3 linked regions of the Stegostoma tigrinum genome follow. The protein of the gene in region 3 interacts with the protein of the main gene of each other region in a pairwise test. Links are inferred from orthologs where the notes say so. Each region holds a gene or a part of one and is shown on either strand. Other genes may lie near its edges. The genes, in order: zdhhc22, nurim-like and trim59.

The links.
Region 1: the proteins of trim59 (region 3) and zdhhc22 interact in binary tests that used the Homo sapiens proteins (3 or more experiments, as listed by UniProt). The link is inferred for Stegostoma tigrinum from reciprocal best matches to the Homo sapiens genes TRIM59 and ZDHHC22.
Region 2: the proteins of trim59 (region 3) and nurim-like interact in binary tests that used the Homo sapiens proteins (3 or more experiments, as listed by UniProt). The two-hybrid records come from large-scale screens. The link is inferred for Stegostoma tigrinum from reciprocal best matches to the Homo sapiens genes TRIM59 and NRM.

Annotation. Positions count from the first base shown.
Region 1 is NC_081363.1:775,119-786,186, reverse strand, and holds the start of zdhhc22 (palmitoyltransferase ZDHHC22), read right to left. Parts: upstream 5,096-11,068; 5' UTR 4,970-5,095; intron 1-4,969. UniProt on the Homo sapiens protein: Palmitoyltransferase that could catalyze the addition of palmitate onto various protein substrates and be involved in a variety of cellular processes. Catalyzes the palmitoylation of KCNMA1, regulating localization of KCNMA1 to the plasma membrane.
Region 2 is NC_081387.1:14,531,845-14,542,809, forward strand, and holds the start of nurim-like, read right to left. Parts: upstream 4,557-10,965; 5' UTR 4,508-4,556; coding exon 4,351-4,507; intron 1-4,350.
Region 3 is NC_081367.1:27,478,444-27,489,421, forward strand, and holds the start of trim59 (tripartite motif-containing protein 59), read right to left. Parts: upstream 4,691-10,978; 5' UTR 4,272-4,690; intron 1-4,271. UniProt on the Homo sapiens protein: E3 ubiquitin ligase involved in different processes such as development and immune response. Serves as a negative regulator for innate immune signaling pathways by suppressing RLR-induced activation of IRF3/7 and NF-kappa-B via interaction with adapter ECSIT.

The sequences.
Region 1 (11,068 bases), on a different chromosome or scaffold from region 3:
GGATTAACAGTCCAGCAATAATGCCACTGGGCCATCTCCTCCCCTGAATTCATGCCTACTCTTTGTTTCTGTCAACCTGTTCTCAACACATTTCAGTATGCTACTCCCAATTCCAAGTGCTTTAATTTTCCATGCTAATCTGTCAGAGTCATACAGCACAGCATAAAAACTGAAAGAACGGCGGATGCTGTAAATCAGGAACACAAACAGAAGTTGCTGGAAAAGCTCAGCAGGTCTGGCAGCATCTGTGAAGAAAAAAACAGAGTTAACATTTTGAGTCTGGTGACCCTTCCTCAGAGCTTATTTCCTTCACAGATGCTGCCAGACCTGCTGAGCTTTTCCAGCAACTTTGTTTTTGTTCGTACAGCACAGAAACAGACTCTTCAATCCAACTTGTCCGTGCTGACCAGACATTCTAATCTGACTTACAAAGAACTACTGCACAGGAACAGGCCCTTCAGCCGTCCAAACCCATACAAAAACATTTTGCTCTTCCATACTATAAATGTCATCACTTACAGGATCTGTATCCCTCTCTTCCCTTCCTATTCATGTATTTGTCCAGGTGGTTCTTGAATCCAAAAGGATGTGGATGCTTTGGAGAGGGTGCAGAGGAGGTTCACCAGGATGTTGCCTGGTATGGAGGGCACTAGCTATGAAGAGAGGTTGAGTAAATTAGGATTATTTACATTAGAAAGACGGAGATTGGGAGGGGGGGGGGGCCTGATTGAGGTCTACAAAATCATAAGGGTATAGACAGGGTGAATAGCAAAAAGCTTTTTCCCAGGGTGCAGAGGGTGGGGGGCACCTGGAACGTGTTGCCGCGGAGGTGGTAGAGGTGGGCCTGATAGCGGCATTTAAGATGTATCTAGACAGATACATAAATGGGCAGGGAGCAGAGGGACACAGATCCTTGGAAAATAGGTTTAGATAGAGGAGCTGGATTGGTGCAGGCTTAGAGGGCTGAAGGGCCTGTTTCTGTGCTGTAATTTCCTTTGTTCTTTGAATGTTGCTAATATGTCTGCTTCCAGCACCTCCTTTGGCAATGTATTCCAAGCACTCACCACCCTTTGTGAGAAAAACGTGCCTTGCACATTTCTTTTAAACTCCACCCCCCCCCCGCCTTGCACCTTGAACCTGTGTCCCCTACTAACTGACCCCTCCACTCTGACAAAAAGCCTTATACTTTGCATTCTATCCATGCCATTCACAATCTTGTAAACTTCTACTACACTTTCCAATCAATATATCTACATATATTGGTCTATGTAAAATTTGTGGTCGTAACTGTGTCAAAAAGTGCTCTGCAGTTCTCTGAAAACCAGAACTTTCTATTTGTCAGATGCTAAGAAAAGCATTCTACAGAATTACAGTGTTTAATCTCACTCGAAAGAGAATCTCTGGGCCTGCATGATCAGAAATGGAGTTCAAAAATACCATCACCAGTTGGTGTGCTGATCAACTAACATCATTCCTTGGGCTGGTCATTTTACAAGAAACATGTTTGGGAATCCCAACCTCCACAAGATAGACAACACACTGGACTCCGAAGAATTTTGTTGCTGCTGCTGGGGTTTCCAGTTCGTCTTCAGTTTCCAAGAGTGATGGGGAGAGGTGTGTCTGCCATCTGGAGGGCACTAACCAGGGAGCCATGATCCAGGCCATCCCTCTATGCCTACTGCATCCAGAGGCCATCCAGTAGAGGAAAACCTGCCCACAGGATTGGGCCTGGATTTGACGTTACTGAAATAAGAGGCAAGATCCCATAGACACGTATCATTCCCTGCCTGATGGCACCACCACCCACGTCTTCCATTCCCCTTTCCCTTTCTGTATCCTGAAGTCATGGTTTCCACCGTGATGCCCTGGTCCACTCCTGTCATTGCCAACAACATCCCTCCCCTCCCTCAACACCATCCAACAACAACAGGAAATGGAACTCCTGCTCTTTACCTCCTCATTCTCCAAAGTGCCAAGCGCTGCTTCAAGGTGAAGTAGCAATTTATTTATGCTTCTTTTAATTCAGAAAACTGTGTGCAGTACTCATGATGTGGTCTCCTCAACACTGGAGAGATCAATAGAGGCCCCTTGGTGGAATACTGTCTTTAATTTTGCAAACGTGACCCTAAGCTTCTGATTGCCTATTATTTTAAATTCTTTATTTTGCTCTCCTCTGACTTCTCAATCTTTAGCCTCCCGTTGTGTTCCAGTGAGGGTCAATGTAAGCTTGAGGAACAGCTCCTCATCTTTCAATGAGGCAAATTACAGCCTCTGGACTCAATGCTGAATTAAACAATTTTAAAATGCAACGTCTCACCCCACTTTATTTCCTTTTATCGTTGATATTTGTTCTACTGTCATTGTTCTCAGACAATAGCAGCCATTCACATCTCCACCCCTCATTATAGAAGCTCCCTGAACTGCTGAGTACAAGTCCATAAAATGTAGGGCCAGAAATAGGCCATTCAGGCCATCAAGACTGCTGTGCCATTCATGCACATTATGACTGATCTCATAATCCTCAAATTCACTTTACTCCCCTTTTTCCATAACCTCCCATCACCTTACTGACTAAAAATCTCTCTCAACCTTGACTGAACTCAATGCCCTAGCCTCAACAGCACTCTCAGGTAAAACATTCCACAGGTTCACAACCCTCTGAGAGTCAAAATTCCTCCCCAGGACATCTTAAATGAGCAATCCCTTATTCTTAGATTCTGCCCTCTGGTCTGAGACTTTCCCCCAAAGGGAACCAACCTCATCGCATCTACCTTTTCAAGTCCAAAGAATCTTATAGTTTTCTCAGTTTTCTGTATTGCAACAAGTACAGACCTAATCTACTGAACTTCCTTGTAAGACAATTCCTCCATACTTGGTATCAACGTTCTCTGGACTGCTTCCAATGCTGTTATATCTTTACTTCTGGCAAGAAATAATTTTAGTAAGACCTCTCTATTTAATACTCCATTCACCTTGAATGCAGTTTTTGTTATCACTGCAGATTTTCAGCAGCTGCAGTATTGGCTTTTATCACGGTTGCTGGAGGTTTTGATGCATCATGTACAACTGTGGGAAAGACCCTGTCCCATTGAGGTTTTCCTACATAACTTTGAATCCTGGTTCTGTATCCTCAGGGGTACAGAGACCCTCCAGCCGTAATGAGATAGCAGTTGAAACCATAGCCATGGAGATCAATGCTGGACTCTCGGGCCAAGGTGCTGGATATGTTTAATTGTTTCACAGAGTGGACGATACCATTCAATTTATCTTCATGTATCACAGCCACAGAACGGCACCCATCACACCCATTTACTGCCAAGTTTACCTTCTTAATCATTGGCTGCCAACAGTCTAGATCAATCAGCCTTCACCGCTCATTCAGTTTCTCACCTCCCCACTAAATACTAACATTGTTACAGGCCACACACCCACAGCTCCCAGTGTACCCACACTATCAAAAATTCAACCATGACAGCCACAGTATCCAATACATTGCTCCACACTCCCTGACTCATGTCCCTCTTTCCTCAAGTGTAGGGGTTTCATAAGGCAGCATGATCCAAAGGGAGAGAGGGACATCTGGCCTGCTCCAATCCCAATGAAAGAGATGCTGTCTGTCACCATGAAAGGACTATTGCCGAGGGCAAGTCCAGGGACAAGGCTAAATTTAATACCCTCATCACATTGTTCCCAATCTTTCTTCTCACATCTATTTCCTCCTTATCCCACATCCTGTCGAACTGAGAAGCTGTTGATGATGGCAGAAAGGCTACCCTCCTTTCATTCCTCCAATGCCACTCCCTCCTCACCGCAACCTCCCTCTCATCCCTTTCCCCATTCAGATTCCCAAGATCTGGAACTTGTCTGTCCAGTGGAGAAAACTGCTAATGAAGACAGTCACTGAATCTCACAGACACTAGGGTGAGTTCAGAGACTGACAATGTGTGTAATGAGAGAAAAGCTGGCATCAGCCTGCAGTGAGGTACAAGGATAGGATAAAGGGACTGAAGGAGGGAGAGAAAGAGAGTGACAGAGAGAACTATAGGCAGATAACTGGAGAGCAGGGCTGTATAGTGAGAATGGTTAACGGTGACTGTGATTAATGATAAATCTTGTTAACAGTGGGTGTGGTTAAAGATTTACAATGAGTGTGGTAAACAGTGGTTAACAGTGAAGGTGATTAATGGTAAACATCCTGAACATGCAATAACGCTGAGCATATCTCTATCTGCCTCTTTGCTGACTCTGTTTCACTCAGTGTTGCTCTTTTGATCGTATATCCTCTACATTCATTTTTTATTTTGTTATTTTCACAAGTTTTATTCTTGCTTTTACTCTGGGTCTCTCTCTATCTCTCATTCTCCTTGTCTCTGTGCCCTTTGTCCATGTAACCCTGTGTGCTCAGCCTGTGCCTGCTCTTGCTGTCTATCTTCTGTCTCTGCCTCTGTCTTCTGCCTTTGTCTCTCTCTGTATGTCCCTCTGTATTACTGTCTGTGTCGCTCGCTGAGTATTTCACCTTGTTTGACCCATGTCTGTCTTTCTCTATGTCTCTAAGCCTCTCTCCCTGGCTCCCTCTCTGTTTTCTTGCAAACTCTCACTATCTCTGATTTTCTATGTCTGTCTGTCTCTCGGTTTCTTCTGTATCCCTCTCTATTTCTCTCTCTGTCTCTCTGACTCTTCATCTTTCCAGGCCCCTTTCTCCCTCTGCCTCTCTGCATGAGGTTGCCTTCATGTGGGCTTCATTTTTGTTTGTGATGACTGCAGTCAGCCTGTCATTTATCAGACTGCTTCTATTGTTCTCTCTCTCTCTCTCTCGTTCTCTCGCTGGCCGTGCTGCAGACAGCAGTCTTTTTGAAGATGATGTGAAGCACTGTGCCTTTCTAAAGAGCTAAGAATAAATACCGGTGGTGATAACGGTGCTGTGAGCTCTCACTGCCCTTCTTGCTGATGGATGTTGTGGATGCAGTACCTGGATCTGAGATGTGCTCGTTATCCTGTGCCCCGATCCGGTGTCTGTGTTTGAACCCTGCAGCTCAGAACCTCCTGCCCTGCGATTGTGTCCTTGCTCCTGGGCCCAGTGTTACGGTGCTCCCCAACTGGCTGTAACCACAAACTGCAACCTCCACAGTTACAGCCTGTGCTTCAGTCACTGTGTGCAAACGAAGCCACAAATCTACTATTCAAACAGATCCCTCCAGTCTCCATTTGGAATGTGATCCTGTCTCTAGTATTACTATTTTTATCATAGAGTGTTGAATCTCATAACCTCCATGGAGTCATCAAATCATACTATGGAGAAGAAGGCCATTTGGCCCATCATGCTATATTATTAAGGTACTATACCTTTAAGACAGCTAGATGACATCACGAGTGTGGCACTGTCATATAAAAAGGTCTCCATCATATTTTCTGTACAGCTAACCCGATAAACAGAGGCTAATGAGATAGGGAATTAAAACAAAATACTGCAGATGCCGAAGATCTGAAATGAATGCAGAAAGTGTTGCAGAAGCTCAGCAGGCCTGGCAGCATCTCTGGACAGAGAAACAGAGTTAACGTTTTAAGTCTGGTCTGTCTCTTCTTTAGAAGAAGTGCCATGGGACTGTCTGTATAGATACTGCTAGATCTGCTGAGTTTCTCCAACATTTTCTGTTTTTACTTCAGCCGTCAGCCAATAACACAATAATGAATATAAGATAATATAGCGATCAGAGATAATGGGAACTGCAGATGCTGGAGAATCCGAGATAACAAAGTGTGGAGCTGGATGAACACAACAGGCCAAGCAGCATCTCAGGAGCACAAAAGCTGATGTTTCAGGCCTAGACCCTTCATCAGAAAAGGGGGATGGGGAGAGGATTCTGAAATAAATAGGGATGGAGGGGTGGGGGGGCAGACCGAAGATGGATAGAGGAGAAGATAGGTGCAGAGGAGAGTATGGGTGGGAAGGTAGGGAGGGGATAGGTCAGTCTGGGGAGGACGGAAGGCCAAGGGGGCGGGATGACGTTAGTTGGTAAGAAATGGAGGTGTGGCTTGAGGTGGGAGGAGGGGATAGGTGAGAAGAAGAACAGGTTAGGGAGGTGGGGATGAGCTGGGCTGGTTTTGGGATGCAGTGAGGGGAGGGGAGATTTTGAAACTTGTGAAATCCATTTGACACCATTGGGCTGCAGTGTTCCCAAGCGGAATATGAGTTGCTGTTCTTGCAACCTTCGACCATCTCCAACACATCCGTCACCCACAGCGCCTCATGGATGTCCAATCTTGTGTTGCTAGATCTGTACAAAGTCTGCCCCATTGAGCACGATGATCGAGCCACACAACACGATGGAGGTTGTTTTCAATGTGGAGGCAGGACTTTGTTTCCACAAGGGCTGTGCAATGGTCACTCCTACTGATACTGTCATGGACAGATGCGACTGCAGCTGGCAGATTGGTAAGGATGAAATAAAGTGTGTTTTTCCCTCTTGTTGGTTCCCTCACCACCTGCTGCAGACCCAGTCTCGCAGCTCTGTCCGATAGGTCCTGACCAGCTCAATCAGTAATACTGCTGCTGAGCCACTCTTGGTGGTGGACATTGAAGTCCCCCACCCAGAGTACATTTTGTGCCCTTCCCATCCTCAGTACTTCCTCTAAGTGTTGTTCAACATTGAGGAATACTGATTCATCAGCTGAGGGAAGACAGTATGTGAGTGGATATGTAATATTCAGCCAGAGGGTTCCTTGCCCATGTTTAACCCGAAGCCATGAGACCTCCTGGGGTCCAGACTCAATGTTGAGGACTCCTGGAGGAACACCCTCCCGAGTGTATACCACTGTGCCACCCCCTCTGCTGGGTCTGCCGCTGCTGGTGGGACAGGACATATCCAGGGATGGTGATGGTGGTGCCTGGGACATTGTCAGTAAGGTACGATTCTGTGAGTATGACTGTGCCAGGCTGTGGCTTGACTAGTCTGTGAGGCAGCTCTCCCAATGTTGGCACTAACCCCCTGATGTTAGTGAGGAGGACTTTGCAGGGTTGACAGGGTTGTTTCTGCCATTGTCTTTTCTGGTGCCCAGGTCAATGCCAGGTGATCCATCCAGTTTCATTTCTTTGAGACTTTGTACTGACTGGCCAGCGGAGGTGGTAGACGCAGACACGTTAGTGTCTTTTAAGATATATCTGGACAGGTACATGGATGGGCAGGGAGCAAATGGATACAAACCGTTAGAAAATAGATTACAGGTTAGACCGAGGATCTCGATCGGCGCAGACTTGGAGGGCCGAAGGGCCTGTTCCTGTGCTGTAGGCTTCTTTGTTAAACTCCATTTGGCAAACTTCTATGCATTCACCTAACCTTTCCGTATACACTTTTTCATTGCAACTTACTATTTTAGTATCATTTAGAATACTGTGTCCAATTTTGGGCCCCACACCTCAGGAAGGACATACTAGCCCTGGAGCGTGTCCAGTGGAGATTCACATGAATGATCCCTGGAATGGTAGGTTTAACGTATGATGAACAGCTAAGGATCCTGGGATTGTACTCATTAGAGTTTGGAAGGTTGAGGGGAGATCTAATAGCAACTTACAAGATAATGTATGGTTTAGAAGGGGTGGACGCTAGGAAGTTGTTTCCATTAGGCAGGGAGACTAGGACCCATGGGCACAGACTTAAAATTAGAGGGGGTAAATTTAAAACTGAAATGAGACGACATTTCTTCAGCCAGAGAGCGGTGGGCTTGTGGAAATCATTGCCGTGGAGTGCAGTGGAGGCCGGGACGTTGGATGCCTTCAAGGCAGAGATCGACAAATTCTTGATCTCAGAAGGAATCAAGGGCTATGGGGAGAGTGCAAGGAAGTGGTGTTGAAATGCCCATCAGCCATGATTTAAATGGCAGAGTGGACTTGATGGGCCAAATGGCCTTACTTCCTCTTACTTATACAGTAAATGGAAAAGTCCTAGGGAAATATACAGTAAATGGAAAAGTCCTAGGGAAAATTTATGAACAGAGAGATCTGGGTGTTCAGGTCCATTGTTCCCTGAAGGTGACAACGCAGGTCAATAGGGTGGTCAAGAAGGCATATGGCATGCTTTCCTTCATTGGGCGGGGTATTGAGTACAAGAGTTGGCAGGTCATGTTGCAGTTGTATAGGACTTTGGTTCGGCCACATTTGGAGTACTGTGTACAGTTCTGGTCGCCACATTACCAAAAGGATGTGGATGCTTTGGAGAGGGTGCAGAGGAGGTTCACCAGGATGTTGCCTGATATGGAGGGTGCTAGCTATGAAGAGAGGTTGAAGAGATTAGGATTATTTTCGTTAGAAAGATGGAGATTGAGGGGGGACCTGATTGAGGTCTACAAAATCATGAGGGGTATAGACAGGGTGGATAGCAAAAAGCTTTTTCCCAGAATGGGGGACTCAATTACTAGGGATCATGAGTTCAAAGTGAGAGGAGGAAATTTATGGAAGATATGCGTGGAAAGTTCTTTCCGCAGAGGGTGGTGGGTGCCTGGAACGCGTTGCCAGCGGAGGTGGTAGACGCAGACACGTTAGCATCTTTTAAGATATATTTGGACAGGTACATGGATGGGCAGGGAGCAAATGGACACAGACCGTTAGAAAACAGATGACAGGTTGGACAGAGGATCTTGATCGGCGCAGGCTTGGAGGGCCGAATGGCCTGTTCCTGTGCTGTAGGTTTCTTTTTTCTTTGTTCTTTGTTCCACTCCTATGTCTTCTGGTCTTATGGTCTTATCATAGAAACACAGAAATAAGGAACAGAAAACGGTTTAGGAACAGAAGTGTGTCATGTCCAAATGTAGAAATATAGAATATTGGAGCATAGAATATTCTCCAATATTGTATATGATCATGTTCAATCATATTACTCAGTCCCCTGTTCCTGCTGTTGCCCCATAATGTTCGATCTCTGTAGCCTGAAGAACAATATCTCCTTTCTGAAAACATTCAATGTTTTGGCCTCAGTTGCTTTCTGTGGCAAGAATTCCACAGGGTCATCATTCTCTGGCAAAGGAATTTCTCTTCATCTCAGTCTTAAACAGCCTAACACGTATCCTTAGATAACAAAGTGTGGAGCTGGATGAGCACAGCAGGCCAAGCAGCACCTCAGGAGCACAAAAGCTGATGTTTCGGGCCTGGACCCTTCATCAGAGAGGGTTAAGGGTCTAGGCCCGAAATGTCAGCTTTTGTGCTCCTGACGTGCTGCTTGGCCTGCTGTGTTCATCCAGCTCCACACTTTGCTATCTCGGATTCTCCAGCATCTGCAGTTCCCATTATCTCTGATCACAATTTTACCCCGTATCCTTAAACTGGTTCTGGACTCGCCATTCATTGGGAACATTGCTTCTGTGTTTACATTGTCTAGACCTGTTAGAATTTTATAGAGTTCAATGAGATCCCTCCTCATTTGTCCACATACCAGTGAATGCAGTCATAACTAATCAGTCTCTTAGTGAGTTTTGAGAAGATTTGTAGCTCAGGTTGAGGTTCTGGATGTGAGTTTGCTCGCTGAGCTGGAAGGTTAGTTTTTAGACGTTTCGTCACCGTTCTAGGTAACATCATCAGTGAGCCTCCGACGAAGTGCTGGTGTTATGTCCCGCTTTCTATTTATCTGGTCAGGTTTCCTTGGGTTGGTGATGTCATTTCCTGCATTGGTGATGTCATTTCCTGTTCTTTTTCTCAGGGGATGGTAGATTGGCTCCAAATCAATGTGTTTGTTGATGGAGTTCCAGTTGGAATGCCATGCTTCCAGGAATTCTCGTGCGTGTCTCTATTTGGCTTGTCCTAGGATGGATGTGTTGTCCCAAAGTGGTGTCCTTCCTCATCTGTGTGTAAGGATACGAGTGATAGTGGGTCATGTCGTTTAGTGGCTAGTTGATGTTCATGTATCCTGGTGGCTAGCTTTCTGCCTGTTTGTCCAATGTAGTGTAGGGATAACACATCCATCCTAGGACAAGCCAAACAGAGACACGCACGAGAATTCCTAGAAGCATGGCATTCCAACCGGAATTCCATCAACAAACACATTGATTTGGAGCCAATCTACCATCCCCTGAGAAAAAGAACAGGAAATGACATCACCAACCCAAGGAAACCTAACCAGATAAATAGAAAGCGGGACATAACACCAGCGCTTCGTCGGAGGCTCACTGATGGTGTTACCTAGAATGGTGACGAAACGTCTGAAAACTAACCTTCCAGATCAGCGAGCAAACTCACATCCATAATCAGTCTGTGTTATATTCATTTGTGGGATGTGGGTGTTGCTGGCTGGCCAGCATTTCCTGCCCATCCCTAATTACCATTGAGAAGATGGTGGTAGGTTGTCGTATTGAATCGCTGCTGTCCACCTGCTGTGAGTTGACCCTCAATGTTCCTTAGTGAGGAAATTCCAGGATTTTATTCTTGCGACAGTGAAAGAATGGCAATATAATTTCAAGTCAGAAGTAGAGCCAACAGGGGGTGCTGTTCCCATGTATCTGCTTACTTTGTCCTTCTAAATGGAAGTGGCTGTGGGTTTGGAAGGTGCTGGCTGGGGTCCTTTGGCAGTGCATCTTGTAGATAGTGCACAGTCTCCCTGCTAGCCCCTGAAAGGGATGACCTATCAGGGCTAGCAGCTGCAGCAGTATGGTCAGTGGCACTGTGACTGACTCTGAGGCTCAAGAGGGTAGGGGTTGAGTTAGACAGAGCAACACTGATAGGAGATTCAGTTGTGAGGGGGAGCGACAGAAGAGCGACCAGGATGGTGTGTTGTCTCCCGGATGCCAGGGTCAAGGATGTCTCTGAACGGGTGCAGAATATTCCGAAGAGGGGTGCTGAACAGCCAGAGGTCATTGTGCACATCAGTACAAATGACATGGGTAGACAAAGGGATGGGGTCCTGCGAAATGAGTATAGGGAGTTTGGTAGGGAGTTAAAAGCAGGACCTCAAGGGTAGCGATCTTCGGATTACTCCCAGTGCCACATTGCCAGTGAGGGTAGTAATAGAAAGATAGGTCAGATGAATGCAGGTCTGAGGAGACGGTGTAGGGAGCAGGATCATTAGGATCTCTTCTCGGGTAGATT
Region 2 (10,965 bases), on a different chromosome or scaffold from region 3:
GAATGTTGAAAGTATTAGATGGAATGCAGATCGAGTGGGCTGCTTTGACAACAATAGTGTTGAGATTCTTGAGTGCTTCTCAAGCCCCTTCTTTGGCTTAATATCTTCTTGTTTTGATTACAATGAGGTTTGTTGTGTCATTCTTTTATGTCAAAGATGTAATATAAATATTGGTTATTGTTGTTGAAAACAACAGTTCTGAATCTATGTTATAGAACTGGTATACATTCCCCTTGCAATAGCAGTGTTGGTTCAACAATAGCCCAGTGCTGCCCTCTTCAGTATCTTATGTTCATTATCTGATATCGATAATGAGCCACACCCAACTTCAAAAGAGAGCTTCTTGAATTTTGTTGGACCTGCACCCACCCAAGCAAGTAGGGAGTGTTCCATCACACTCCTGAAATCTATCTTGTAACTGGTTGCCAGGCTCTGGGGAGTCAGGAGGTGAGTTACTCACTACAGGATTCCAGGCCTAAGACCTGCTCTTGCAGCCACAGTACTTACATGACGAATGCATTCCAATTCCTGGTCAATGGTAAACTCTTGGATTTTGATAGTGGGAGATGTAGTGATGGTAATTCCATCAAATGTCAAGGGATGATGGTTTGACTCACTCTTGTTGGAAAAGATCATTGTTTGGCACTTGTGGGGTATGATTGTTACTTGTCACTTGTCAGCCCAGGCCTGGGTATTGTCCAGGTCTTGCTGCAGTTGGGCTTAGACTGCTTCAGTATCTGAGGAGCTGTGAATGGTGCTGAACATTGTGCTATCATCGGCAAACATTCCCACTTCTGATAGGGGGGGATATCACTGATAAGTAACTGAAGATGATCAGGCCAAGACGCTACCCTGAGGAACCGCTGCAGAGATGTCTTGGAGCTGGGATAACTGACTTCCAGCAACCACAACCACCTTCCTATGCGCCCGGTATGAATCTAACCAGCAGATGCACCCTATTTATATGCAATGGCATCTAATCTGTGGTGTCATGGCCAGGGAGAGGGTCATGAAAGTCGAGAACATTATGAGATTCATGTGCAGTGATGAATGTTGAACTGATCATCACCATATCAATTACCAATAGCATCGAGCCCCATAGATAATGCAGTTGACCATGAAGATCCAGAAGTGTCTCAATACCTTGAGATGCAAACGCAGTATTGAAAGAACCTCACAGGTACGTCTTCTAGGTACAACAAAAGAGGAGATCCACTGCATTGAGGATGTCTGAGATGACTTTTGGGGATACAGTGTATTACTGCTTTTAGGGCCTTGGCCTTATCTCTTGTAAAGATTGAGATCTGATTTGATGGCTACAATCAGAAGATACTTGGAGGAGAAACAGCACCTGTAAAGGGTTTAGCTCAATGACAAGTCCTCTCCAAGCAAGAATCATGCAGATTGAAATATCTGTTGGACTGTCTGATGTAAATTCAGAGGGATGCAAGACAATTGGTTGAATTAGAAAGCAGACGAATTTCAGTCACATGCACATTTCAAAGACTGGGTGAAATGCTATAATGTTGGGGAGGCTGTCCACGAATGTGTGTCAGCAAATTCACGACCTATCATCGGTGCTGACAGGTCAACATAAAAGCAAAATACAGAGGATGCTGGAAATCAGAAACAAAACCTGGTGCTGGAGAAACTCAGCAACTCTGGCAGCAACTGTGGAGTGAGAGAGTTCTGTAGACGTCATATTTGTCTTGAAATATTAAACTGTTCCTCTCTTCACAGATGCTACCAGACCTGCCAAGTTTCTTTGTTTTTATTTCAACATTGCTGACAGTTTGGCTGTCAATAAACAACTCAATGTTGGCTAGCCTTGTGGTCTCCTAGTTCTACTGATTCTACACCTCCATCTTTGGTTGAATATCCTCTCAAACTAATGAAACAGTCTCATCTCTTATTAAGGGAGCCATCTCACCTACTTTTCTTTTTGTCTATCGCTTCTAAATGCCATATATCCTTGGATATTGAGTAGCCAACCTTGGTCACCCTGGAGCTACATATTCCCAGTTGCAAGTAGATCATACCCATTTATCTCAATTTATACAATCAAATAATCAACAGCTTTGACAACACTATGGGCACTCAAGAGTGCCTTTAATTCTGCTTTTTGAAAAAATTCTACTTGTATTTGATGCTTGTTTGTTATCTGTTCGGTGTTCCCTTGTAGACTGTGTCTGATATCTGTGAGCCTGACATTGGTGGTGGTGAAGTTGTTGGAGGTGATTCTGAAAGACACTATTTACATAAATTTGGAGAGGCAAGGAATGATTAGGCATTTCCAACATGGTTTTGTGCGAGGGAAACTGTGTCTCACAAACTTGTTCGAGATTTTTTTAAAGAAGTAGCCACTACGTTAGATGAGGGCAGTGTGGTAGACGTTGTTCACTTGGACTTTAGTGAAGTCTTTGATAAGGTTCCACATGGTAGACTAATCAGTAAAGTCATATCACATGGGATTAGGATTGTCTTGCCAATTGTATATGAAACTATCTTTACAATGGGAGATAGATGGTGGTGGCAGAGGGTTTTTTTTGTATGAAAGCCTATGACAAGTGGTGTTCCACAGGGACTGGTACTGGGCCTGCTTTTGTTTGTCATTCATATAAATGATATGGATGAGAATATAGGAGGTACAGTCGTAAATTTGCAGATGACACCAAAATTGTGGTATATAGATTAGTGAAGATGGTTATCTAAGATTACAAAGCGATCTTGATCAATTGGGTCAATGGGCTGAGGAGCAGCAGATGGAGTTTCATTCGGATAAATGCGAAGCACTGCGTTTTGGCAAAACAAACAAGGGCAGTACTTACACAAGTAATGATAGGGCCCTGGGGGTAGTGTTGTAGAATGGAGAGACTGAGCGGTCCAGGTAGTTAATTCTTTGAAAATTGTGTCACAGGTAGAGAGAATGGTTAAGGCATTTAGCACGCTTGCCTTCATTGCTCACACCTTTGTGTACTGGAGTTGGGACATCATGTTGAAGTTGTCCAGGACATTAGCAAGGCTTCTTCGGGAGTACTCTGTGCAGCCTTGTTGCCCTGTTACAGGAGGCATATTATTAACCTGAAGCCAGAAAGGATTAACCATGATGTTGCCAGGACTGGAGGGTTTGAGCATGTCTTTTTTAAGGTGAGAGGAGAAAGTTTGAAAAAGGACATGAGAGACAACTTTTTCTTTTTACACACAGCGTATGTTTGTGTGTGGACGAATTGCCAGAGAAAGTGGTGGATGCAAGTGCAGTAACAATGTTTAAAAAACGTTTGGATAAGTACATGAGTAGAAAAGGTTTGGAAGGATATGGGCAGAGGTACATGGAAATAGTTTAGCTTGGGAACATGATTGATGTGGACTCTTTGGGCTGAAGGGTCAGCTTCCATGCTGTACAAATCTATCTGCTTGGTCATGTCTCCTACAATTCAGTCGCATTATTGGGTGCCCCAATACTACCCTCCACAATACTGCTGGGTCAATGTCTGCTTTGTACTTGGTCAGTAGCTGGTGTTCCCTCAGTATTCATCTACACAGTACTGGAGTGTCATTGTGGGGTGATCCCTGCAGTAGGGTAAAGTCAGTGCCTTGTGTTTGTCCAGTGTCAATACTAGAGGGTTAGTATCTGGTATTCCCTTAGTCCTGTCCTCTGCAGTATCAGAGGATCAGTGTCTGCTGCCTCCCCCAGTATCACCCTGAGCAGTACTGGAGAATCAATGCCTGACGTTGCCCCAGTGTCACCCCCTGCAGTACTGGAGGGCCAGTGTATACTGCTCCCCACTGTCTCCCCCTGCTGTACAGGAGGGTGAGTGTCTGCTGCTCCCCACTGTTGCAGCACTTGAGGATTAAAGTCTGCTGCTCCAGAGTCACCCCATGCAATACTTGAGGATTAATGTCCGCTGCTCCTCAGCATCACCCCTGCAGCATTACAGAATCAATGTCCAGTGTTTTTCCAATGTCGCCTCCCTACTCTGCAGAAGTAGAGGGTCAGTGTCTGCTACACTCTCAGTGTTGGTTGCTGCAGAAATGGACGGTTAGCGTCTGCTACAGTCTCAGTGTCGACCCCTGCAGTACTGGAGGGTCCGTGCCTGCTGCACTCTCGGTGTCGCCCCCTGCAGTACTGGAGGGTCCGTGCCTGCTGCACTCTCGGTGTCGCCCCCTGCAGTACTGGAGGGTCCGTGCCTGCTGCACTCTCGGTGTCGCCCCCTGCAGTACTGGAGGGTCCGTGCCTGCTGCACTCTCGGTGTCGCCCCCTGCAGTACTGGAGGGTCCGTGCCTCTGCTCCACCTGATCCTGTGGTTCTGCCCAGGCCCGAGCCCGCCATGTTGCTGCCCACCGTCTTACCTGCCTCGGGGCCTGTCGCCGCCCCTCCCGGTCTCCTGCTCTCCCGGTAAATCTGCCGCAGGGAAACAAACGCCACGAACTCGGCCGCGCTCCACGAAACGAAAACAAAGTTGGCCAGGGACAGGCCGACAAGGGCGGCCGAATGTAACACGGTCATGGCATCGGAAGAGGGAACACTTCCGGGTCATTGGGTCGGGCGCGCCGGCCCAGTGGTAGCGGATGTGAATGTTAGGGGGAACTTTCATTGTCGCGGTGCACGCTGGATAGAGAAGCCCTCCATCACCCTGGCTCCTCAGGCAATAAGCGAAAAGGAGGAATATGGCGTTCCCGCCGTTAATTTTGGGAAGAAGTAAGAGACGACCAGTCATGGATTGAGAAAAGAAGAGAGAAAAAGACGGATGCTATGCTATTGAATTCTGTAAAATCCTGTGGTGCTTGACAGGGCAGGTATTACAATCGACGGCATCCGCTGTCGGGATCTCCCATTTATGGCAGAGATGAAGCGAAATTCTTTCTGGCATTGTTTTAAATCTGTGGAATTCTCTTCAACACGCCCATTGGCTGATCTGCTATCTTAATTCCACTTTGCCTGTGCTATATCTAAATCTCCCAATTAAATTGGTACCCCGAAAATCTTCTCCCGACATTTTGAACGCACTCGAGTGTCCACGGCTATTAGGTGTAGAGAATTCCAAAAATCCATAACTCCTTGAGTGAGAAAAATCTTTTCATCTCTGATCCATTTGGGCGTCCCTTATTTTGAATCTACTTATTATATTGAATTTGACATGCTAGTTGGTAAATATAGAAACAGGAGGTTTAAAGACAGAGATAGAAAATTGATGTAGGAGGGAAGATATCAGATTTCCCTAGCATTGGCCAATTGAATCATTTAGGATGAATGAGATGCATTTTAGCAGGACTGCACCGGGAGATTCGATAGTGCTGTTAGACAGGATTTGAACTAGATTGTTAAGGGAATGGGATCTGAGAGACAGTTCACATTTGAAGGGAAGCAAAGCTAATGAAAGGAAATATAAAAATGGAAAGTAAAATTGCAAATACATTAAGAATAGGCAAAAATAAAGAAAAACTTGGTAGAGCATAATGTAAGTAAAAGAGAATTAAAAGCTATTTATGCCTTACTCATCTTTAAGACAAAAAGCTGATGATTTGAAGGCACACAATGAGGTAAATTGGGGTGATATTATTGTCATTATAAAGCATAGCTGGTGACCAAGACTTGGAATTGAACATCGAAGATAGTGACATTTAGGAGGAAGAAGGAGAAAGGAAAAGGAAGTGGCGCTGCACCTTAATAAGGGCCTAGATCAGTACATTAGTATGAGCCATGACCACATTGAATGATAGTGCAGACTCAATGGATTGATGTTCTGATGTTAATTTTAGAGGACCTTAGATCAAAGCTGTAGAATCAGTTTGGGTGGAACTAAGAAACAGCAGGAACAGAAAGCAAAGGGTTTAAGGGTGCCAAACTCTTGTAGTTATGTTGGACACAGTATAAACCAGAAAATCATGGATTTATGTAACCTGTGTAATACAGCAATGATAATAAAATGTGAGGCTGGATGAACACAGCAGGCCAAGCAGCATCTCAGGAGCACAAAAGCTGACGTTTCGGGCCTCGACCCTTCATCAGAGAGGGTCTAGGCCCGAAACGTCAGCTTTTGTGCTCCTGAGATGCTGCTTGGCCTGCTGTGTTCATCCAGCCTCACATTTTATTATCTTGGAATTCTCCAGCATCTGCTGTTCCCATTATCTCGAATACAGCAATGAAAGGCGATTTCATGTGAAAAATAGATTGGGTGAATGAAGTCAGTGCTAATGCTGTGAAGAATGAATTGCTAGCGTGTGTATGAGATGGAGGAGTATATTAAGAAACCAACTATCAATTGGGATATTTTGTATTTAGAGCTGTGTAATAAAACAAGACTAATTAATAACCACACTAAAGGAGCCTTCGTGAAATAATGACTATAGTATGATAACATTTTGCATTAATATTTGAATGCAATACGGTTCTGAATCTCGGAGTTCAGTTATGAATAAATACACCGTTATGAATAAGTTGACTATGGTGGATTTTGAAAATATTTACAAAAGGATTTGTCAGTAGACAGGCAATGATGTCAACGTTTGCAACAGGTAAACTTTCCTGAATGGAATGAAACTGAAGGGTGTGTGGTTAATAAAAGAAGATAAAGATTGCATTAGATCTTTATAAGCCAAAGGAAGTGAGACATGGATGCTAGAAAACTGTGGCAAGACTAAGAATCAGGACCAATTTAGAACCCAGCAAAGGAAGAACAAATATTAAAAAAAAACTAAAAAATAATAAATGAAAATATAACAAGGAAGCTTCAAGAGAACTTGAACAGGCTGAATTAACGGGTATGACATGGCAGACAGGATATAATGTAAATGAGAATGAAGTTATTTATTTTAATAGAAAAAGGAAACAGAAAAGCAGAATATTTCTTAAATGGTGAGAGATAGGAAGTGAAATTAGAACATAGAAGATAGAACAGTGCAGCACCGTACAGGCCCTCCGGCCCACAGTGTTGTGCCGACCTATTATCCTACTAAGATCAATCTACCCCTGCATACCCTACATTTTACTATCCTCCATGTGCCTATTCAAGGGTCGCTTAAAAGTCTCTAAATTATCTGACTCCACTACCACTGCTGGCAGTGCATTCCACGCTCCCACTGCTGCAGACCTTGGTGTCCTTGTTTTTGAATCACTTCAACTTAGTGTATAAATGCAGCAAGCAATTAGGAAGTTAGTCTTCACTGTGACGGGATTTGAATGGAAGACTAAATATGTCAAGCTGCAGTGGCATAGAGCATTAGTGAGACCTCATCTGGAGTGTTGTGTACATTTTTGCTCCCTTAATCTAAGGAAGCATATATTAACCATAGAGGAACTGCAACAGAGGTTCACCAGATTAATCCCAGAGGTGGAGGGATTGTTTTATGAAGGCAAATTGAGGAGTTCTGACCTGTATTCTACAGAGGTTTGGGAAATTCAAACAAAACTTATAAATTTCTTACAAAGTGTGGCAGAATAGATGTAGGTAAGACGTTTCCCAGGGTGGTGAGTCTAAAATCAAAGGATGTAATCTCAGGATAAAGGACAGACAATTTAAAACTGAGATGAGGGGAAATTTTCTCACATGAAGGATGATAAAACATAGAGAACTATCAAATCTAATTACACGAAGGAGATGGAGAAAGAGAAGGAACAATGTCGACTGCTGTGAATGATCAGTCAAGATTTAAACAAATGGTGTAGTGGATTTGATATTTCCCAGAGGCAAGATTTAGAATGGGTTCAGCACAGCATTTTAGTTATTCTTTTAACCACAGAAAATGTTGCATCACTTGTATGCTGCCCAAAGGTAGTCCTTTGGCTCATTACCTGTTGATGCACCATTCTGAGTCGTTTCATGGCAGATTTTGTGTGGTGATGGATTTTCATTGTCTTTCATTTTAAGGGAGAGAGCCAGGGGGAATGCACCAAGTCTAGCTGATCTGGGGCAGGAATCAAATCTTTGTTTTTAGTGTTATTCTACACCGTGCATTTGCCATCTGGGCTGATCTCCCTGCTTAAGAAAGACAAAGAGGAAAAGAGTGTGTAAATGTTAGAAGGAATGTGGTGATGTAGTGGTAATGTCACAGAGAAATATTTGACAGCTAGGCTATCACAGTACATGAATGAACATAGACTTATAAATCTGAGATTAAAAAGCAGCATTTGATTGTTTAACACCCTGTCTAGTTCAGTAATGCACTGTAGAAAATGAAATCTATCATCCTGATCTGGTTTGGCTTATGTGTGAGTCCAGATCCACAACAATATGGTTGATACTTAACTGCCATCTGAAATGGTCCAGAGAGCAAATCTGTTGTATCTAACTGTGATGACTCTTCAGGAAAGGAAAACATAATCTGCACAGGCCACCAGCATTGATCTAGGTACAGAACTGACATCAGAACCAGCCCTGACAACTCTGTAAAGTTTTCCTTGCAAAATCTTGTGCCAGAATTGGAACAGTTGTGCCAAAGACTGGTTGACATACTGTCTGACTAGTCAAATTCATGGAATCATACCTTACAGGCATGATTTCAGGCACTACCATTATCATTCTTGGGTATTTCCTGTCTTGCCAGCTGAATAGACTCGTTGGAGGTGGTGGTACAGTAGTTTACGGTTGGTATAATCTTACCCTGGGACTCCAAAATACTCAATCCAGACTTCATGAAATCTCACGTTATCAGGTCAAACAATGGCAAGGAAATCTCCTTCCTGTTACAATCTGTCTCTCTCCTGTCTCCCCTCCTTGCTTAATGAATTAGTACTCCTTGATGTTGAACACTAATTGAAAGAAGAAAGAGTTGCACTTGAAGTGGTGGGGGAAGGTGATTGATGCAGTGGTGGACGAGTTTAATGTCCTTCATGATGAGTGACTTGGTAGCACCATTACTGACCAAAACCTAAAAGGACACCACTTCTAGACTGGGTTGTATCAGGGAAATAAATACAGCAAAAACTTTATACTTAACAATCTACCTGTTACAAATGCATCTGCCCTCGACAGTGTTAGCAGGAATGTTTGCCACAGAGTCCTTGCAAAGATGTAATTCTGTCTTTTGTTTTCATTTTGTGTTGTGTGGCACTGCCACCATGCTAAATCGCTTGGAATTTGAAGAGATCTGGCAACTCAAAACTGGATATCCCTGAGGCACTCTGAATCCTGCTTTTGCAGAATGCCCAATCAACCACACAATGTATTGTCATGGCTTGAGATATTCCCCCATTCCAGAAACGTGATCAAGCTGGGGGACCAACCCTGCTTCATTGGAGAATGCAGGATGGCATGCCAACAGCAGCACCCAGGCATTTCTAAAAATGAAGTGGCAACGCATTCATGCTAAAATACTTGCACTTTAGATGCAACTTATGATAGGCAGGGCTAAGTGACCCTACAACCAACATATCAAACCTATGTCTAAAGCCCTGCCGCATCCATTTGTAAATTATGATGGACATTCAAACAATTCTCAATAGGAGAGACTGCAAACTACCATGTCCTCAATGTTGAGAAGCCTAAATCATTAGTGTAAAAGACAAGGCTGAAGCATCTGCATCCAACTTCTGCCAAAATTGCTGAGCGTACAATATGTCTGTTCCTCATGAGGTCCTCGGCATCACAAAAGCCAGTCTTCAGTTAATTCGGTTCACTCTACATGACATCAATAAACAGCTGCAGGCTTCAGATATTGCTCAGGCTGTGGGCTCTGGTAATGTTACAGAGAACTTGCAATCCAGAATTTGTCGCAGTGCTGGACAAGCTGTTCCAGTGAAACTACAAAACTGCAAATTACCCAACAATGTAGAATTTTTCTGGTATATCCTGTCCAATAAAAGCAGGTCATCTAACCAATTGCCATCCCATCATGTTACTCCTGATCATCAGTGTAGTTCTGGCCGGGATTGTGGGTGGTATTATCAAGCAGACTCACACGGCAATAACTTGCTTCATGATAATTAGTTTTGGTTCAAGACATTGACACAGGCACGATCAAACATGGACAAAAGAGCTGAACTCTTTAGCCCTTGACATCAAGACCACATTTAATACAGTTTGACATCAAGAAACCTTAGCAAAACTGGTATCAATGGGAATCAGGGAAAAGTCTCTGCTGGTTGCGGTCACACCTAGCGTATGGGAAGATAATTGTTGTTGTTGCGGATCAATCATCTCATTTCCAGGACATCCCTGCATGAGTTTCTCAGTGTAGTGTCCTTGGCCCAACCATCTGCAATGTTTCGCAAATGACCTTCCTCCATCTTAAGGTCAGAAATGGGGATAATTACAGATGGTTGCATAATATTTAACGCTATTTGCAATGCCTTCAATACCGAAGCAGTCCATTTCTGTATGCAGCAAAACATTGACAATGTCCAGGCTTGGGTTGATAATTTGCAAGTAATGCTTGTGCCGCACAAGAAAGAGCAGAAAATAGGGAAACTAACTGTCACCCCTCCATGTCCATTGACAATGTAATTGCTGAATCCCCTAATATCACCACCTTGGCTGTTACAATTGAGCAGAACCCGAATTGGGCTAGACATCTAACTATTATGACTACTAGAGTAAATCAGAGGCTTGCAATAACATAGCGAGTAACTCACCTCCTGTTTCCCCGGTATCTGTCCACCATCTATGAAATGCAATTCAGCAGTGTGAATGCACTGCATTGCACGGATGGGTGCAATTCCAGCAAGACTTAATAAGCTCAATAACTTCCAGGACAAAACAGCCCATCCACGACATTCAACATTTACCTCCCTTCACTGTTGCTGCAGTGTGCCATCTATAGAAGCACTCCAGTAATTCACCAATGCTCCTTAGACAACACGTTCCAAGCTACAAGGTCGAGGACACCGCCATCTGATATCCCAAGTTCCCCTCCATGTCACACATCATCCTGACTTGGAATTACTTCGCTGATATTTCACAGCTGTTGGATCAAAATCTTTGGACTCCTCCCTTAACAGAACTGAATAGGATTATGGTGGGTGCCTAC
Region 3 (10,978 bases):
AATATACTTAATGATCCAGTTCCAACACCTGTCTATGGCAAAGAATTCAATAGATTTACAACTCCTGAAAGAAGAAATCCTTCCTCATCTTGACAGTTAAAAAAAAGGCATGATTTGTTTTTCTTAGTTCATTGTTCAGACTTTCTTAACAACACATTTCAGCATTTTCCAATGACAGATGAGACCAACCAGCCTGTAGTTCCCGGTTTGTATCACCCTCATTTCTTAAAAGGCAATGCTATATTTGTAAACTTCCAATCTGATGGGACTATTCCCAAATCTAAGAAATTTTGAAAAGCCATAGCTAACATATCCACTATCTCTGCAACTACCTCTATGAGAATCCAAGGGTGTAAGCCATCAATACCATGGGACGTCAGATGTTAATTCCTCAAGTAACTAAAGTAATTTATCTTTGATATTAATTACCTAAAGACTCACTTTCTTTTTAGTCCCTAAGTTACCCCCTATATACACCTGATATACACCTTGTATCTTCTCCTGTGAAAACAAAATATATATTTCACGGCACTGCCCTTCCTTATTCCCCATTATAATTTTTCTTTTCTCTGCTTGTAAGGAACCAGTGCTGTAGCCACTCCCAGTGCAGTCTGTAGCTGACTGATACAACTGAGTATTTTGCTATTCCATTTCACAGGGCAGTTAAAAGTCAACACCTAGCTGTGGGTCTGTAATCATGGATAGGCCAGATCTGATAAGGGCAGATGATTTCCTCCCATGAAGGGTTTGGGTGAACATGATAGTTTTGTTTTTAAGCATAATCAAATAGTTTCTGATCAATTCATGAGACCAATATTTTATTTCAAATTCATTATTTCATCGAATTTAAATTCACGAGCTGTCATGGTAGGATTTGAATCAATCTCTGGAGTAACAGTCCAGGTCTCTGTTTCATATAGCAAGGAATATTTTTTAAAATCAAAGTGGGTTCTGTTTTTTTTATTTTCTTTTTCTCTCTCCTTATTTCTAAAAGTGTCCTTACACATTCCAAACTTTATTTTTCCTCCATCACCAAATCACCCAGGGTTCAAAGTGTGTTCTAAATTACAGGGCAGATTTCAGGTATGGTGATACTTAAATAAAACTCAACTGAAAATTGATAGAGAAACAAAACACTTCTCAACACCCAGTGTAATTTTTGGCACAGTTTGCATCCTGGTCATCAACTGCATTCAAAATTGTTCCTGAATGGGCCATTGTAGGAATGCACGTACTTGAGGCTACCAAAATTGCTTGGAAACCGTTGCTTGATGTCCATTGGGTGTAGATCAGCCACTTGTAAAATTCATGCATTTTATGTAATAATTCAGATGTTCTATTTATGCAATACTGTGTACTTTATGCATGTCTGTGAAGGTTTTATTTCAAAGGATCAGTTAAGTTCTTTTGAAAAGTTTTACCATACAATCACATTAATCACTAGAAGGCCTGATGTTGCTTTAGATTTTAAATATCACTTAAAATGTGTCTTTGTCACAATAAATTCAATAGGCTAAATCAGCATAAACTTGTATAAAGTACTGTGAGAAACCGTTTCTCTCTCCATTACTGACCCCTGTATATGGAATAAATGCTACATTTTAGCCTTTTCAGGTCAACTATTTTTTTTAAAATCAGTTGATGGTAATTATACTGTTACAAGTAAATCATGATGTAGGATAAACTAATAAAGACATAACAAGGAAACTGTTGCCCAACAGATATTTTGTAACACATGCAGAATTACAAAACAAATTATCCCCTGGGTTCTGAGCGCACATCTGGAATATGAGTTCACAGGGACAAATTCTTGCCATGCTCCTAGACTTTCACACTTCACAACAAAGCATGGCAATGTTTTGTTCCTTGGCTCAATAGTAAGGTGAAGTCAATTGTAGCCACAATACCAACAAAGCACAGATTTGTCACCAAATATATTGCTTGCTTTGTCAATATTGTTGTCAATTAGTGAACCTCCAATAGAATTTCCAGTAATATAATTTTAGTAGCAATTGCTGAAAAGCAAATGTTGCTTAAATCAATAACTGGTAGGCAATTCACAAATTTGAGTAACATTTTCTCAGTTGTTATTTTTCTGTCATTAATTTTGAATGTGCAAATACATGTTGTCATTTTAGGAAAACGTCAATTTCCATGTTTCACAAATTTGTTGCTAGAAATTACTATTAGAATCTAGCTTTCCCAAATAAGATTAGGTTTACAGAATTTCAAAACTGAGTTTGAGAAATTGATGATAATGGCAGCTTCATATAGAAACAATAAAGGCAAATAGATAACTTGCTTTCTCTTGAGGGGCCATTTCTTATCCAGTATTATCTGTCTGGAAATTGAACTACAAATATAACTAGGTGCTAATCTGTTTCATATACCAACATACAGAATGTTGGGTAAACAACAAAAGAACAGCAAAACAAAATTACATGACAGCACTGAAATGTAGTGGAATGTTATCATGTTAAGGCTACAGAGTTTGGAAATACTGCATTCAAATTTTGATCAGAAGTTTCTATGTATTTCTATGGATTTGACCTGTTTTCTAAACAAAGACTTTTTATCAATTATGAGTGAACAAAACTTAGAAACCTACAAATGTTGATAGTTTTAAATCTGACACACAAAGCGATGTAGTCACTCAAGTAAATTCATTAACTATTGCTTCATCTATTAATATTTTTGCATTCCAATGCCATTTTACCCCAAAATATGTAGTGGCATCATTTTGTTATTGGTCACTGTGACAAGTATATTTCCCAGATTTTGTTGCTATTGCCCTGGATGTGGGTATTGCTGCTACATCAGCAGTCGTTGTGCTTCCCTAATTGCCCTCAACAAGGTGGTGGCGACGAATGATTTTGATCTGCTGCAATCTATGGGGTATACATTCATCAAAACATTTTTTCTTCAGGAAAGGTGACATGCCCATGTTGATAACAGGAAAATAATTATTTTAAAAAGACTTTTATTTCTTGTTTTAATTTATGCTGACTTATTTAAAATAATAAAATGATTTGCTTTTATTTCAACATTCCCTTTGTGTGAGGATCACTGTACTGTGAAAAGGAATTAATAAAAAGCTAGAGAGCTTGCAATTAATCCCTTTTATGGTCCAGGGTATCTGGCAGACACAAAGGAAGAATTCATTTGAGGACAGAATCTGCACCATCTGAAATTCATATCAATGTAGACTTCTTGTTATAGAAATCTCAATCTGATAGAAATGGCAGAATATCTTCGAGTGCAACTGTGTAGGGAAAGAACTAAAGCCAGGCTGAGGATGTCTTGACTGTCATAAGGGCATCACAGAAAACAGCTTTACACAATGGAATCCCAAATAGGCATTATAACAGCTGATCTTTCCAAGTGAATTACAAAGATTACAACAGTTCATTTCATTCATTGTTTGAAGAAATTGAGAGAATATGTAAACAAATATGCCGCAATGGAAAGTGTTCAAGCGTCAACGTCAATGTTTACCCCAAATGATTTCAATGGCAAGATTTCATAGATATCTCTTCTCAACTTCACACATCTATCACATCAAGCTACACAATAAAGTGTTAATTTGGTTATAAACAGTTCATTAATTTTAAATAAGAATGAACCACAGTGAGGTAAAAACGTAACAAATGCTGAGAGCGGTGTTTTAACATATTGTGCTAAATACTGCACCCACAACAATGTTTTTGTACAATATTTGTTGTAGGTCACTAGTTGCATACGATATTTTTTTAAACAATGACAGTGAAACAGGCAGATCACCGGCTTTCATGCCACTTTGGTTTTAGTTTTTGTTTTCAGGGTACTGTCAGAAAGGTTTGAAATGCAATTGACGCATTTATTTTAGCTTTCTCATAGTTCAGATCTCAAATTGGGATTCTATCAAACACGGAAAGATGGTCGACCGATTTTCAGTAAATGTTATTTAAAGAAAAAAACGGTTTTTTTTGTCCGTTTCTTAGTGTCGATTTCACCCAAACGGAGCCAATCTGCTTTGTTATTTATCTGGAGGGGGACGATGTTGGAGTTAATGTTGCCCCGGCTCATTTCCCGCTCAGTGGTCATTACAAGTGAGAGTCAGTTTCCTCATGATTCCCGGGTTCGCGGTGAATTAGGAGGTGCACTCGAACTGCGAAATCTTTATTCTACATTTGATTTTATAAAGGCCTAACCATGAAGCGGATGGCTTGTAGCTGGCTCTCGCTGCCAGCCCTCCCTATAGGAAATCAAGGGACAATAGAGAGACCACTCACCAGGCAAAATGAACACGCGGCGGGACTGGGGCACGTTTCTCCTGGCGGCTGAAGAGAACATTGAACGAAGCCGAGTTTCTGCTGCTTGGCCCAGCTAACCCTTCAATCTTCCAGCTCGGTAATTCACACAGCGCATGTCTGGAAAACCCCTTCTTCAAAAAGCAGCGAATAGTCGAGGGAGCCGCTCGGATTTGAATTTTTCAAAATTGTTATGAAGCTTTCAAACAGTTTTCAGTAAATCCTGGCGGAATGCAAGCGGGCACACCCAACAGTGCAGCTAGTAAACGCTAAAATTTTTGGCGATCATATTCTTTTCGGAGATAATGGGAACTGCAGATGCTAGAGAATCCAAGATAATAAAATGTGAGGCTGGATGAACACAGCAGGCCAAGCAGCATCTCAGGAGCACAAAAGCTGACGTTTCGGGCCTAGACCCTTCATCAGAGAGGGGGATGGGGGGAGGGAACTGGAATAAATAGGGAGAGAGGGGGAGGCGGACCGAAGATGGAGAGTAGAGAAGATAGGTGGAGAGAGTATAGGTGGGGAGGTAGGGAGGGGATAGGTCAGTCCAGGGAAGACGGACAGGTCAAGGAGGTGGGATGAGGTTGGTAGGTAGCTGGGGGTGCGGCTTGGGGTGGGAGGAAGGGAAGGGTGAGAGGAAGAACTGGTTAGGGAGGCAGAGACAGGTTGGACTGGTTTTGGGATGCAGTGGGTGGGTGGGGGGGGAAGAGCTGGGCTGGTTGTGTGGTTCAGTGGGGGGAGGGGATGAACTGGGCTGGTTTAGGGATGCAGTAGGGGAAGGGGAGATTTTGAAACTGGTGAAGTCCACATTGATACCATATGGCTGCAGGGTTCCCAGGCGGAATATGAGTTGCTGTTCCTGCAACCTTCGGGTGGCATCATTGTGGCAGTGCAGGAGGCCCATGATGGACATGTCATCAAGAGAATGGGAGGGGGAGTGGAAATGGTTTGCGACTGGGAGGTGCAGTTGTTTGTTGCGAACTGGGCGGCGGTGTTCTGCAAAGCGGTCCCCAAGCCTCCGCTTGGTTTCCCCAATGTAGAGGAAGCCGCACCGGGTACAGTGGATGCAGTATACCACATTGGCAGATGTGCAGGTGAACCTCTGCTTAATGTGGAATGTCATCTTGGGGCCTGGGATGGGGGTGAGGGAGGAGGTGTGGGGACAAGTGTAGCATTTCCTGCGGTTGCAGGGGAAGGTGCCGGGTGTGGTGGGGTTGGAGGGCAGTGTGGAGCGAACAAGGGAGTCACGGAGAGAGTGGTCTCTCCGGAAAGCAGGCAGGGGAGGGGATGGAAAAATGTCTTGGGTGGTGGGGTCGGATTGTAAATGGCGGAAGTGTCAGAGAATAATGCGTTGTATCCAGAGGTTGGTAGGGTGGTGTGTGAGAACGAGGGGGATCCTCTTGGGGCGGTTGTGGCGGGGGCGGGGTGTGAGGGATGTGTCGCGGGAAATGCGGGAGACGCGGTCAAGGGCGTTCTCGATCACCGTGGGGGGAAAGTTGCGGTCCTTAAAGAACTTGGACATCTGGGATGTGCGGGAGTGGAATGTCTTATCGTGGGAGCAGATGCGGCGGAGGCGGAGGAATTGGGAATAGGGGATGGAATTTTTGCAGGAGGGTGGGTGGGTGGGAGGAGGTGTATTCTAGGTAGCTGTCGGAGTCGGTGGGCTTGAAATGGACATCAGTTACAAGCTGGTTGCCTGAGATGGAGACTGAGAGGTCCAGGAAGGTGAGGGATGTGCTGGAGATGGCCCAGGTGAACTGAAGGTTGGGGTGGAAGGTGTTGATGAAGTGGATGAACTGTTCGAGCTCCTCTGGGGAGCAAGAGGCGGCGCCGATACAGTCATCAATGTACCGGAGGAAGAGGTGGGGTTTGGGGCCTGTGTAGGTGCGGAAGAGGGACTGTTCCACGTAACCTACAAAGAGGCAGGCATAGCTGGGGCCCATGCGGGTGCCCATGGCCACCCCCTTAGTCTGTAGGAAGTGGGAGGAGTCAAAAGAGAAGTTGTTGAGTGTGAGGACGAGTTCAGCTAGGCGGATGAGAGTGTCGGTGGAGGGGGCCTGGTCGGGCCTGCGGGACAGGAAGAAGCAGAGGGCCTTGAGGCCATCTCCATGCGGAATGCAGGTGTACAGGGACTGGACGTCCATGGTGAATATGAGGTGTTGGGGGCCAGGGAATTGGAAGTCCTGGAGGAGGTGGAGGGCGTGGGTGGTGTCACGGACGTAGGTGGGGAGTTCCTGGACCAAAGGTGAGAAAATGGAGTCCAGATAGGTGGAGATGAGTTCGGTGGGGCAGGAGCAGGCTGAGACGATGGGTCGACCAGGGCAGGCAGGTTTGTAGATTTTGGGAAGGAGATAGAAACGGGCCGTGCGGGGTTGGGGAACAATGAGGTTGGAGGCTGTGGGTGGGAGGTCCCCTGAAGTGATGAGGTCGTGAATGGTGTTGGAGATGATGGTTTGGTGCTCGGGTGTGGGGTCATGATCGAGGAGGTGGTAGGAGGTGGTGTCGGAGAGTTGGCGTCTGGCCTCGGCGATGTCGAGGTCAGTGCGCCATACTACCACTGCGCCACCCTTGTCTGCGGGTTTGATGGTGAGGTCGGTCGTCCCGAGCAGCTCCGTGACGTGGGACTCCGTGCTCTATGGGCTGTTTCCCGGGACGCACACCGAGACCAACATCGACTGCGCTTGGAGGACCATCGATGCGGTGAAAGACATTCTTTGGTCTGCCCACAACTTGCTGGTCTGCCAGCTGAACGAACTGACCCCAACCGAGTGTTGCAGACTGGCGCACCCCAAGGTCCAGGACTACGTGCTGAGGGACGCGCTAAAGTTTGGGGCAGCCACCGCCAAGGCGCGGTGGGGAAAGACCACGGTATGAAACCCCTTGTCCAGAATAGGAAAAAGAACCCTATCTGGTAACTGGGCCCAGCTGGCGCCTTCCCCAACTGGCCAGGGGGCCAACGGGAACTGTGCGGGGAGACGACTGCCGGGGTGTTTTCTTTGCTTTGTTTTTTTTCTTCTTTGTTTGTTTTTTGCCTTTAGCTGGTGTACGTACCCCCTGGGTAAGCCGGAGTGGCTTGCATGACTGGGTAGGTGTGTATAAATATGTTTTATTTTTTGTACATCTTATGAATAAAGTATATTTTTTCAAATAAAAAAAGTGACGAAACGTCTGAAAACGAACCTTCCAGCTCAGCGAGCAAACTCACATCCAGAACCTCAACCTGAGCTACAAATCTTCTCAAAACTCGCTAGCGGTATCTTATGTTTAAATATTATGTTATTTAGCAATGTTATGCTTGCTACTGCACTCTGATGGGAATTTATATTTCACACGTGTTTCGTTTTGATCACAAAGGCATATCTCCCGATGGAACCTCAGCTTTGAAATGTTATAGTGGGGCTTGTAGCCAATCACTCACACAAATATTGAAGAAGCGTCAGACTGGACTTGAAATTTAACTCTGTTTCTCTCTTCAATATGGATTCTCCAGCAGTTTCAGTTTTTACATCATACAGACACAGCTCTCAAACGTGCAGGGGCTGGAATCTTGTTACATTTCTAATAGTAGAAAATCTAATTTCCAGCTGCATTTTTATTTGCCTCTTCTTAAGCTGCTGTGTGAGTAAAAACCTTTGTACCAATGTATTTATCGAAAGAGTACTGTTTAATTGAGCTGGGAAGCGCGAGGCTTTATCCTCATCCATAGTGGTCTCAGGTGTTATGAACAAATAATTCACTCTCAAATCTCCTTGATAATCGAATGGAGACAGAATTGAAAAGGATTGCCCATTATTTGCAAGGTTATTAAGCTAGCGGAGTTTTATTTTGGCTTTGCTGGCTTTCCTCACCTAATTACGCAAAGGTACTCTGCTGTTTTGAGCATCCTTTAATCGTTTTCAGACTTTATTGATGTTCAGTGAACTACAGTAGTGTATAAGCAGCCTCAGCAGCAGGCTTAGCGGAATGAATGGACTACCTACAGTTCTGTATTTTCTAGGTTTCCTTTGTAACGACGGTGTTTTACAGTTTATCGAAAAAGTGACTTTGAAAAGCGTCATTTTTCACTGACTAACAACCTCTGCATCCGAGGATTTTGGGCCGTTTTAGGTCTTGGTTAACTCCGAAATTTCTACCTGAGCGGATAGGTATAATTCGTGGTTTGTCTGTCAAAAGAAGTCACAATTTTGATTATCTTCTCTCAATCAAACCCTCGAGAGTACATAACGTCAACGGCTTGAAGCAGTAGAATCGGAAAACTCCAATATGAACAACAGCTTTCTGATTTAACAAGGAAGTGAATGGTTTGGTATCGTTTCCGGAGATGCAAGCAAACGTGAATGATATTTTCTGGATGCTTGACATCTGAAATTTAAAAAAAAGCTCACTGGAAATACTCGGCGGATCAGGCGGATCTGTAGAGAAAGAAAAGATTAGTGTAGAGTTTGGAACAATTACAGATGTCAAACAGTCATAGAGATGTACAGTACGGAACAAACCCTTCTGTCTGACTCGACCATGCCGACCAGCTATCCTAAATTAATCTAGTCCCATGTGCCAGCATTTGTCCCATATCCCTCTAAACCTTTCCTATTCATATACCATTTAAATGCTGTAATTGTACCAGCCACTGCCACTTCCTCTGGCAGCTCATTCCACGCATATACCACTCTCTCCATGAAAAAGTTGCCCCTGAGGCATTTTTAAAATCTTTCTCTTCTCAACTAAAATCTGTGTCATCTGGTTTTGCACTCCCCTAGTCTGGGGAAAGGACCTTGACTAATAACCCAACCTATGTCCCTCACAATTTTATAAACTTCTTTAAGGTCACCTCTCAGCCTCCACATGCCAAGGAAAACAGCCCCAGCCTATTCAGCCTCTCCCCATAGTTTAAACCCTCCAATCCTGACAACGTCCTTGTAAAGCATTTCTGAATCCTTCCAAGTTTCACCACATCTTTCCTTTAGCAGGGAGACCAGACTGAACAAATAATTCCAAAAGTTGCCTAACCAATGTCCTGTACAGCCACAACATGACCTCCCAAATCCCATACTCGATGCACTGACCAACAAAGGGAAGCATACAAAACATCTTTACTATGTGTTAGTAAGAACTACCAATGCTGGAGTCTGAGATACCACAGTGCGGAGCTGGAGCAACACAGCAGGCCAGCCAGCATCAGAGGAGCAAGAAAGCTGATGTTTTGGGTTGGGACCCCACATCAGAAAAAGAGTCTGAAGAAGTGTCCTGACCCAAAATGTCAGCTTTCCTGCTCCCCTGATGCTGCCTGACCTATTGTGTTCCTCCAGCTCCACACTGTGTTACCTTCTTCACTACCCTGTCTACCGGCGACTCCTTTATGTAACTGCATTCCAAGGTCTCTTTGTTTGGCAACGCACCTAGGACTTGTTGGGCTGAAGGGCCTGTTCCCACATTGTAGGGTATCTAGTTAAATGTATAAGTCCAGCCCTGACTTGCCTTTCCAAAATGCGGCATCCCACATTTATCTGAATTAAACTCCAATTCCCACTCCTCGGCTCATCTGATCAAGGTCCTGTTGTACTCTGAGTAACCTTCTTTGCTGTCCACTATACCGCCAATTTTGTTATCATCCGGTTATGGTAGTCCCTCAGATCTGGCAAGAAGCAACATCTGGAGTCTTTGAAGTGGAAGGGCTGTGGTGTCACAGCTATCACCCTTTTTGTTGTTTTGACCAGGAAATTCTCACTACCTGCCTTTTGGCATATGGGAAGAATTTACAGACTGAGAATTGGCCACAATGATACACCGTCCATAGCCATCAAGTCACAAAGAAAATCTTAGATCCAGAGTTTCTTGCCCAGAGAAAGGGACTGGGCCACAAAACCCCAACAACTAAGGGATGCAATAAGTGTGGGATAGGGCCAGAAGTACAAAACGGTGGGGGTGGGAGGTCTGTGATAAGGATGGCTGGAAGGATTCAATGGCAAAAAGATTGGCAGAGCAAGGCCAAAGTGGCAAATGTCAAGTAAGAAAAAAAATCAAAATGTGTGTAGAGATACAAATGACAGAATAGCAGAAAATGAAAACATGAGAGTAAAACAAAATCAGCAAATATTTTTTAAAAAGAAACAAGGTTAGGGTTGAGATTATTAAATGATTGAACTCAAAATTGAATAAGGTGTGGCTGCTTGATCTAAGATTGGGGTGCATTGCAACACTGCTGACAGCTAATTAGAAAGATGTCTGCACTACTGCAAGGTGGAGAATTGAAAGCACAGGTCACCAGGAGCTGTGTGGTATTTGCAAACTGAAGGTTGGAGATCTGTAAAGCAGTATACATTCAATCTCTTCAATGTAAAGGAGATCACAACCTGAACAGCAATTGCACTCAACAAGTTTGAGAGATGTGCAAGTAAATGGCTGCTTCACCTGGAAGAAATGCTTGTGGCCTTGAATGGTGAGATGAAAGGAGATAAAAGCACAGATGATGTATCTCCTGAGATGGCAAGGATAAACACAACAACAGAGTTCCTTTGGACTGTAGAATGGCAGGGGAAGATATGTTTGCTGAGAACATTGTGCTGGAGGTGGAGTGAATAGTGAGGGATCCATTGAATATGAAGAGTCATATTTTTTGGACTAAGGGGAGGGGGTGAGAGCAGAAACACGTCAAGAGGAATAATGATGGTGAAGTGCCATGCTGAGTA